Xenopus tropicalis: one gene and its partner. The protein of the gene in region 1 interacts with the protein of each later gene in a pairwise test. Links are inferred from orthologs where the notes say so. Each region holds a gene or a part of one and is shown on either strand. Other genes may lie near its edges.

The links.
Region 2: the proteins of uba3 (region 1) and cpne2 interact in binary tests that used the Homo sapiens proteins (3 or more experiments, as listed by UniProt). The two-hybrid records come from large-scale screens. The link is inferred for Xenopus tropicalis from reciprocal best matches to the Homo sapiens genes UBA3 and CPNE2.

The regions. Positions count from the first base shown.
Region 1 is NC_030680.2:141,975,766-141,979,994, reverse strand, and holds the start of uba3 (NEDD8-activating enzyme E1 catalytic subunit), read right to left. Parts: upstream 2,813-4,229; 5' UTR 2,779-2,812; coding exon 2,759-2,778; intron 2,627-2,758; coding exon of another isoform or gene 2,588-2,626; exon of another isoform or gene 2,505-2,587; intron 2,502-2,504; exon of another isoform or gene 2,483-2,501; intron 1-2,482. UniProt on the Homo sapiens protein: Catalytic subunit of the dimeric UBA3-NAE1 E1 enzyme. E1 activates NEDD8 by first adenylating its C-terminal glycine residue with ATP, thereafter linking this residue to the side chain of the catalytic cysteine, yielding a NEDD8-UBA3 thioester and free AMP.
Region 2 is NC_030680.2:51,390,050-51,394,227, forward strand, and holds the start of cpne2 (copine-2), read right to left. Parts: upstream 2,801-4,178; 5' UTR 2,394-2,800; intron 1-2,393.

The DNA of each region.
Region 1 (4,229 bases):
AATATGTAACTGGGAATTCTATATGTACATTTGAAATGAGTATGTGGAAATGAAAACTAAAGATCAGATTTATTTGCTTTGGAAAAATGTACCCCAGCAACCTAAAAGCTGCTAAAATACCAAACTGGAGAGCTAAATAGCTAAATATCTCAGAATATCCCCTATATCAGGGATCCCCAACCTTTCTTACTCGTGAGCCACAGTCAAATGTAAAAAGACTTGGGGAGCAAGCACCATAAAAGTTCATGGAGGAGCCAAATAAGGGCTGTGATTGGCTATTAGGGGCCTCTATGCACCCTATCAGCTTGCAGGGGGCTTTATTTGGTAGGAAATCTTGTTTTTATTCAACCAAAACTTGCCCCCAAGTCAGGAATTCAAAAATAACTCCCTGGTTTGGGGGCACTGAGAGCAACATCCAAGGGGTTGGGGAGCAACATGTTGCCCCTGAGCCACTGGTTGGGGATCACTGCCCTATATCATGCTAAAGGTTTATTTAAAGGTAAACTACACCTTTGACTCACTATAGGATATTTAGATATGAACAAATGAGAGGTAAAACAATGAAGCACATTGGGGGAAATGGTAGAAAACCTTACAGTCCACGTTACTGAACAATTAATGGCAGAAAGAAAAACATATTAAGACATCATGAGTTTATTAATACAGATATGGGGGCCTGTTATCCAGAATGCTCAGGACCTGGGAAACTCCGAATAAAGGGTCTTTTGGTAATTTGTATCCCATTACCTAAAAAGAATAATTTAAACATTAATTAAACCCAATATTATTGTTTTGCCTCCAATAAAGATTTATTATATCTTAGTTGGGATCAAGTAAAGGTACTGTTTTATTATTACAGAGAAAAGGGAATCATTTAACCCTTAAATAAACCCAATAGGGCTGTTCTGCCCCCAATAAGGGGTAATTATATCTTAGTTGGGATCAAGTACAGGTACTGTTTTATTATTACAGAGAAAAGGGAATCATTTAACCATTAAATAAACCCAATAGGGCTGTTCTGCCCCAATAAAGGGTAATTATATCTTAGTTGGGATCAAGTACAGGTACTGTTTTATTATTACAGAGAAAAGGGAATCATTTAACCATTAAATAAACCCAATAGGGCTGTTCTGCCCCCAATAAGGGGTAATTATATCTTAGTTGGGATCAAGTACAGGTACTGGTTTATTATTACAGAGAAAAGGGAATCATTTAACCATGAAATAAACCCAATAGGGCTGTTCTGCCCCCAATAAGGGGTAATTATATCTTAGTTGGGATCAAGTACAGGTACTGTTTTATTATTACAGAGAAAAGGGGATCATTTAACCATTAAATAAACCCAATAGGGCTGTTCTGCCCCCAATAAGGGGTAATTATATCTTAGTTGGGATCAAGTACAGGTACTGTTTTATTATTACAGAAAAAAGGGAATCATTTTAAAAACTGGAGTTATTTGATTAAAATGGAGACTATGGGAGATGGCCTTCCTGTAATTTGGAGCTTTCTGGATAACGGATCCCATACCTGTATTCTCTTCCTGGCTTGCCTTTAGTTTTACTTCTTAGTGGTGCTGAAAAAAATCTACTATTGTCCTTGCTTACATATGAACACTGCAATAGGGAAGATATTAAAAAAGGAAAAGGTTTTGGGTAGGGGGACCCCCCCGAATCCACCTTTTTATGTTATCGAACCTAATTAAAAGTCAGTATATCAACTAAAAGACAAAAATAACGGGGGATGGGGGGGGGAGTAATTGAAATTCTGCCAGAATACAATGAGTACAGCTCTGATAACTGTCAATGACAGGTCAGTCCTGTGGCAGTTAACTAAAGGCTATCAATGTGTGTATGTGTGTGTGTGTATATATATATATATATATAGACATATCTATAGTATGTGCTGGAACTTACAGTCCCCATAGCAGAACGCTGACAGCCTAATTAACCCTTTCGCTGTCAAGTGGTACAGCAAGCAAAGAATGTACCTGCACAATGTCACTACTATATATATATAAATACTAAATATAAATACTATATATATATATAAATACTATATATATATATATATATATATATATAAATACTAAATATAAATACTATATATATAAATACTAAATATAAATACTATATATATATATAAATACTATATATATATAAATACTAAATATAAATACTATATATATAAATACTAAATATAAATACTATATATATAAATACTATATATAAATACTAAATATAAATACTATATATATAAATACTAAATATAAATACTATATATATATAAATACTATATATATATATATATATATAAATACTAAATATATATATATATATAAATACTAAATATAAATACTATATATAAATACTAAATATAAATACTATATATATAAATACTAAATATAAATACTATATATATATATAAATACTATAGGAAGTCCCTAGGGGCTCCTGGGAAGCAGTGCTAACAAGGGCAGGCCTACTCAGCACCAGTGGGGGCTTTACATATAAATATAAAGCGGTCTCCTCTCCAGGGTGCAGTTCCGGGTCCCACTAAGCACCCACAGCCCTGTCCCACCAGCACTAACTCGTCAGGGAGCTCTTCTATCCGCCTTCTTTTCTTCTCCCTATAAAGAGAGAGAGAGAATAAAAGAAGGGTATTTAGGGCCACCCTCCTGGCCTGTCACACAGAGAGGGGGAGAGAGAAGAGGGGAGAGAGACGGTCCCCAGGCTACTGGTGACACAACACAGATACTCACGGCTCTTCAGCATCCGCCATATTCGTCCCAGCCTCTCTCCTCCCACAATGCACCGGGACAGAACGGGTGGGCGGGGCCGAGCGCCGGCGGAGCCATAAAGGCTGCTGTTGCTAAGGGCATCCTTCTGTGTTAGTCATGTGACTGCGGGCTGCCGGGGCCCAGTCAGAGCCGAATGTGGCGGCTTCATGGTGTGAACTGGTCTCCCTGTGTCAGTGTATGTGGGCTCTGGCTTTGGGGGGCACTGTGTATGGGGCTCTAGCCAGCACAACGTTAGGTGGTCGTGTGTATTGGGGGCACTGTTTTTGGGGGGCACTGTGTATGGGGCCCTGGCCAGCATAGATTTAGGGATGCACTGTCCATTGTGCCTGAGTCTGAGCTTTCAGCCCTCCCATGTAACTGGAGGAGTCCCAAGCCGGACTTGGATTTCTTACTATTGAGTGCTATTCTGATACCTACTGGGAGCTGCTATCTTGCTCCCTTCCCATTGTTCTGCTGATCGGCTGCTGGGGGTGAGGGGGGGGGATATCACTCCAACTTGCAGCGCAGCAGTAAAGTGTGCCTGAGTTGGAGCTTTCAGCCAGCGCTACACATTAGAACTGCTTTCAGCTAACCTATTGTTTCTCCTACTCCCATGTAACTGGAGGAGTCCCAAGCCAGACTTGGATTTCTTACTATTGAGTGCTATTCTGATACCTACTGGGAGCTGCTATCTTGCTCCCTTCCCATTGTTCTGCTGATCGGCTGCTGGGGGTGAGGGGGGGGATATCACTCCAACTTGCAGCGCAGCAGTAAAGTGTGCCTGAGTCTGAGCTTTCAGAAGGAGCCAGCGCTACACATTGGAACTGCTTTCAGCTAACCTATATTTATTAATGGGGTTGTTCACCTTTAAGTTAACATTTCTGGGCTTATTTATCAATTTTCAAGTTTGTGAATTTGTTTTTCTAAAACTTGCATATCACCTTGGCGCTTATTTATTAATAAGGAAAACTCGTTTGAATAAAATCGAATATCTCCAATTTTTTGAGTTTATGAGCTCGAAAAACTGGAGTCTGAGAATACAGTTTGACTTTGCCTATAGCAACTCCCATTGACTTCTATAGAAACTCCATTTTATTCAAACACTCTCCTATTCATATTCCAGTCTCTCATTCAAATCAGTGCCTGGTTGCTATGGTAATTTGAACCCTAGCAACCAGATGCTGAAACTCCAGCCTGGAGAGCTGCTACGCATAAAAATAAATAATTCAAAAACTATAAATAATAAAAAAAGGAAGACCAATTGCAAACTGTCTTAGAATACCATTCTCTAAATCATACTAAAAGACACTATTTATTTTTTTCCCAGATATAACCCACAAGGACTGTCTAGATGACATATTCAGAACTGTTGCTGTTAGACAGTTAAACTTGTTTGGTACATAGAAAGGCTCCTTTTTATATTGGGCATTAAAGCTGGCCATACACACACCAA
Region 2 (4,178 bases), about 91 Mb from region 1:
TTATAAGCAAAAATAGAGGAAGCAGACCCAACGTCCAGGCGCGATTGTGGGATCTGCTTTCTTTATTGTTACAACACCTGTTAAACGCAGGACTTCCAAAAAAAATAAAATATAAGTATTTTTTTTTTTTACACAAACATGCCTGATTTCACAAGTTGAAAGTAAACCATGATAAATCATTTCCCAGCATTCCTTAGGCTCACGGTTGTAATGCAATACCTCCCTTAGCTTCCTTCATTGTGAAGTGAGGGATTGTGGGACTTAACTTCCTCTGCTTTTCATCGTGGGTGGTGCACTGATTCTCTGGACAGCAGAGGAACTTCAAGTCCCAGAATCCATCTGAGAACAGAGACAGACATGTCTGTGTAAAAAACTAAATTTAGATTTATTTCTGGAAGTTCAGAAAAGTGTTTATGCATCTTGTCTACATCAGCCCAAGTGAATAAGGTCGTGTCAAAAATGGGGTATATTTTACCATTAAAAAAGTATATAAAGACAATCTCCAAAAAGCTGCTAAAGCAACTTACAATTACAACATTCTTATAGGCAAACTTAAGGTAAATTTCTCTCTTATAATAGTCTCAAATATTGTTTATGAATAAGATGGGGTACCATGATAACACAGCTTTTACTGGATAAAAGATGATAAACCTATTTATAAATAGGATATATGCATTGACAGTAAATCCTACTTAAAACAAAGCTGGCCTTTAAAATATTACCCAAAATATTTTCATTTAGAGCTAAATAAATTTCTCTTGCTGTTTAACTTAAAGGAACAGTAACACCAAAAAATGAAAGTGTATAAAAATAATTAATATATTATATACTATTGCTCTGCACTGGTAAAAGTTGTGTGTTTGCTTCATAAACACTACTACAGTTTATATAAATACCCTGCTGTGTAGCCATGGGGGCAGCCATTTAAATTGAAAAAAGGAGAAAAGGCACAGGTTACTAAGCAGATAACAGATAAGTAGCAGATTCCCATTGTATTCTACACAGTTATCTGTTATCTTCTTATGTAACCTGTGCCTTTTCTCCTTTTTTCAGTTTAAATGGCTGCCCCCATGGCTACACAGCAGCTATTTCTATTAACTATAGTAGTCTTTCTGAAGCAAACACGCAACTTTAACCAGTGCAGGGCAACAGTACATTATATTTTAATTATTTTAAAACATTTTTATTTTTTAGTGTTACTGTTCCTTTAATAGATGAAGCCACAATATGCCTGACTTTCTGGTCTGGAACAGCAATACAAAGTTGTTTGATAGGCGATATTAATCTGTACCATTAACAGATAAAAGGAAGTAGAATTATATAATAAAGAGCAGCCACTGGGGCTGGGGATACAAGAAGTGACACACAGAGGAGGAATTATGACAATATTATATGCCATTTAATTCTGTTAAATATAGTTCAGAAATTACCTATTGAAATGGCTGCTTTTCCACAAAAAAACAAGAGACCATTGATTATAGAATCTACAGTGTATCAACATATGACATTGTGTGTCACAACCCACATTTCTTTCTCTTGTGATTTGGTTAATAAACACCACACCACAGAAATAAAAGAGATTCAGACATAGATGCTAACTAGTTGTCACTTTCCCTCTACACTTCAGATGATACTGACAGCTTGTGCTAAAAACACGTTTTGGGCAAAAGTTCATATATAAGATGGAGTCCTTCCAAGATCTCAGCAGTTTGCCAATCTCCCCGGGTACTGAGCTTGGCACACTGCACTGTTTTTAGGTACTTGCCTGATTTTCAAGTTGTAGCCTTCCAACTGTTGCTCATTAGAGCTCCACAAACCCAAAGGATGGATTAGTCCAGCAGGACCGGCGGGGCCGCAGCCTAGAGCGGGTATCCGTGCTGCACACAAAGCGAAATGCCCGGGGGAAGAAGAGGCAAGGGAAACGGAAACTACATTAAAGTCTATAAGATGAGAACGACCGGGCAGCCTTTGGTTAAACACCAGAATACCGGTGCGTCAGACCGTGTCATCTCCCACATATGCGTCACTGGGAAAAGTCGCACGGACACTTTCTATGGAGACTTTGCCTTGGCCATTAACACCCCGGTGATTTGGTTATAAATACACAAGAAGTAGCAGCTCTAACCCCTTCAGGTCACTTATCGCTTAAAGTACAACATAGCCCTCGCTCGCTAAAAGCAGTGAGTAGAGCGCAGTGTGCGCAGAGTGCAGTTCCACAGCGACAGAAGCTCGGTATCGCACAGTGTACATGCAGCTGAGTATGTACCAACACCCCCACTTAGGGAGCAGCACACAGATCCGAGTAGTGAGCTGACGATACGTACAAAGCACGATTCTGTAGGGTGTGAGAGCCAGGTTAGGGCACAGCGCAAAGCCTAGTAGCCACTACTCACCGCTCGATATCACAGTGCTTCCCCGAGTGCTGCCATGTGCGACACCGCCCCGGGCTCCACACACCAGGATCGCAGATCCTTCTTTCTCCTCGGCAGCTACTTGTGCGCTCAGCGATATCTCCGGGCTGCCGTGGGCGTTATCCTGCAGTCTCTCTGGACTGTCTCTCTGCCCCTGTCCCGCGTAGCCTGAGCAGCTGTCTCCTCCCTTCTGGGTGGGAATAGGAAAGCGTTTATTTGCTCATAACCCGAAGTGGCGCCAACTGCCCTGTTTGCGCTGTCACTTCTCTGTGACTCCTTCCTACTTTGCTCTGGCGCTTCCTCATCTCGCTCTTTCTTCTTGGTACCACTTCATCCTCAGGATCAACTCGATATCCTATGGCTTACTATGTGCACGTCTTAATTGGATCCCTTTCCTACCTCTAGCAGCACCCTCAACCTTCCCTTTCCAGCCGCTTTATCTACTCTATTGCCTGTTATATTCCTACCTCAAGCTCTACCCTTTCCCTCCTGCAGGTGATACTTGCACTGATCTACCTGCTTTTGCTCATCACTTATCTCCAATGCATGTGCCCCATTTTTCCTAGTTCTGCCCACCAACATGTACATTTTTATTCTGCTCCCCTTGTCAAGCTTGGCTCCTTTTCATCCCTCACTCACCTGCATACTCCTGTTACCCTCCTTTGTCTGTACTTCTCTCCATCCCAGGTATCCAAACATATCATTCCAATTAGTTTTTATTATGTATGATTTAATTCAGGTCCTCTCATATTTATAACTGCCAGGGCAGAAGAACAGTCATATATGCCTTGAGAAGCTCCCCATGAACATTGCCTGTGCATGCTATTTTAAATACACTTTTTGATTGTTTACAAAATATCTTCATGTTGCTGGTCTTTTTTGCAGTATTTAGATCTTTTTCTGTGCACCCCAGGCAAGTGATGTAGCCGCGTGCCACCCTTGGTTCATATATATTTGAAAGTTGCTTAGAATTATGAACTTTCATTAGGCAAACATTATTTTTGGGTTTGCATCCCTTTAATAATCACCAAATTCCTAACTCAGAAAAGGTGTGCTGTTACACTAGATTATTATATGGCTAATGGCTATGGCAAGATACCCCAGGGAAGCATAAAGCCAACAAAGAGTTTAGCCTACTGCAGCTTTTGCTGTGATCAAAGTCAGTTATAGTGGGAATTGCCTGCAGTCACTGCTCTTGATTATCACTGGTAAAGCACAACCTGCAAGAACCTTTCCTTGGGCAGCAGTTTACCAGGGATGAACCCTTGGAAATATAAAGGCATGTGTAAAATCACCAGTTTAAAGTTCAAGGGAACAAATCTTGTGTTTTACAATACTGAATCACTCCCCCACCAAATCCTGAATCAATATTGTTTAGGTATTGTAGTTAGAAAGCTATAATTAAATAGCAGATGTTAAAAAAAGACACAAGTCCATTTAGTTTAACCTTTTGTCCAAGCAAAACCTGCCTACAGCTAGCCAGTAAATGTTGCAGATTCACACACAGTGAGTCAGCAACTGTTTGGTCTGTGAATGGGGTACTCTGGCTACCTGCACCACTAATATCTTGGCAAAAATTGGGTAGCAGGTTTAAAAATCCAATTGGGAGAAGTACACATTGACAAGTTGGTACTGTAGTCTGAGCGAATCTGTCCTGTTTAGCTTTGCTGAAAAATTTGAGAAACTTTAAAAGGATTCGTGAAACAGCAAAAAATGAGCCAAACGTGGAAAATTACACATTTTCGCACCCGTTTTGTGAAAAAATCC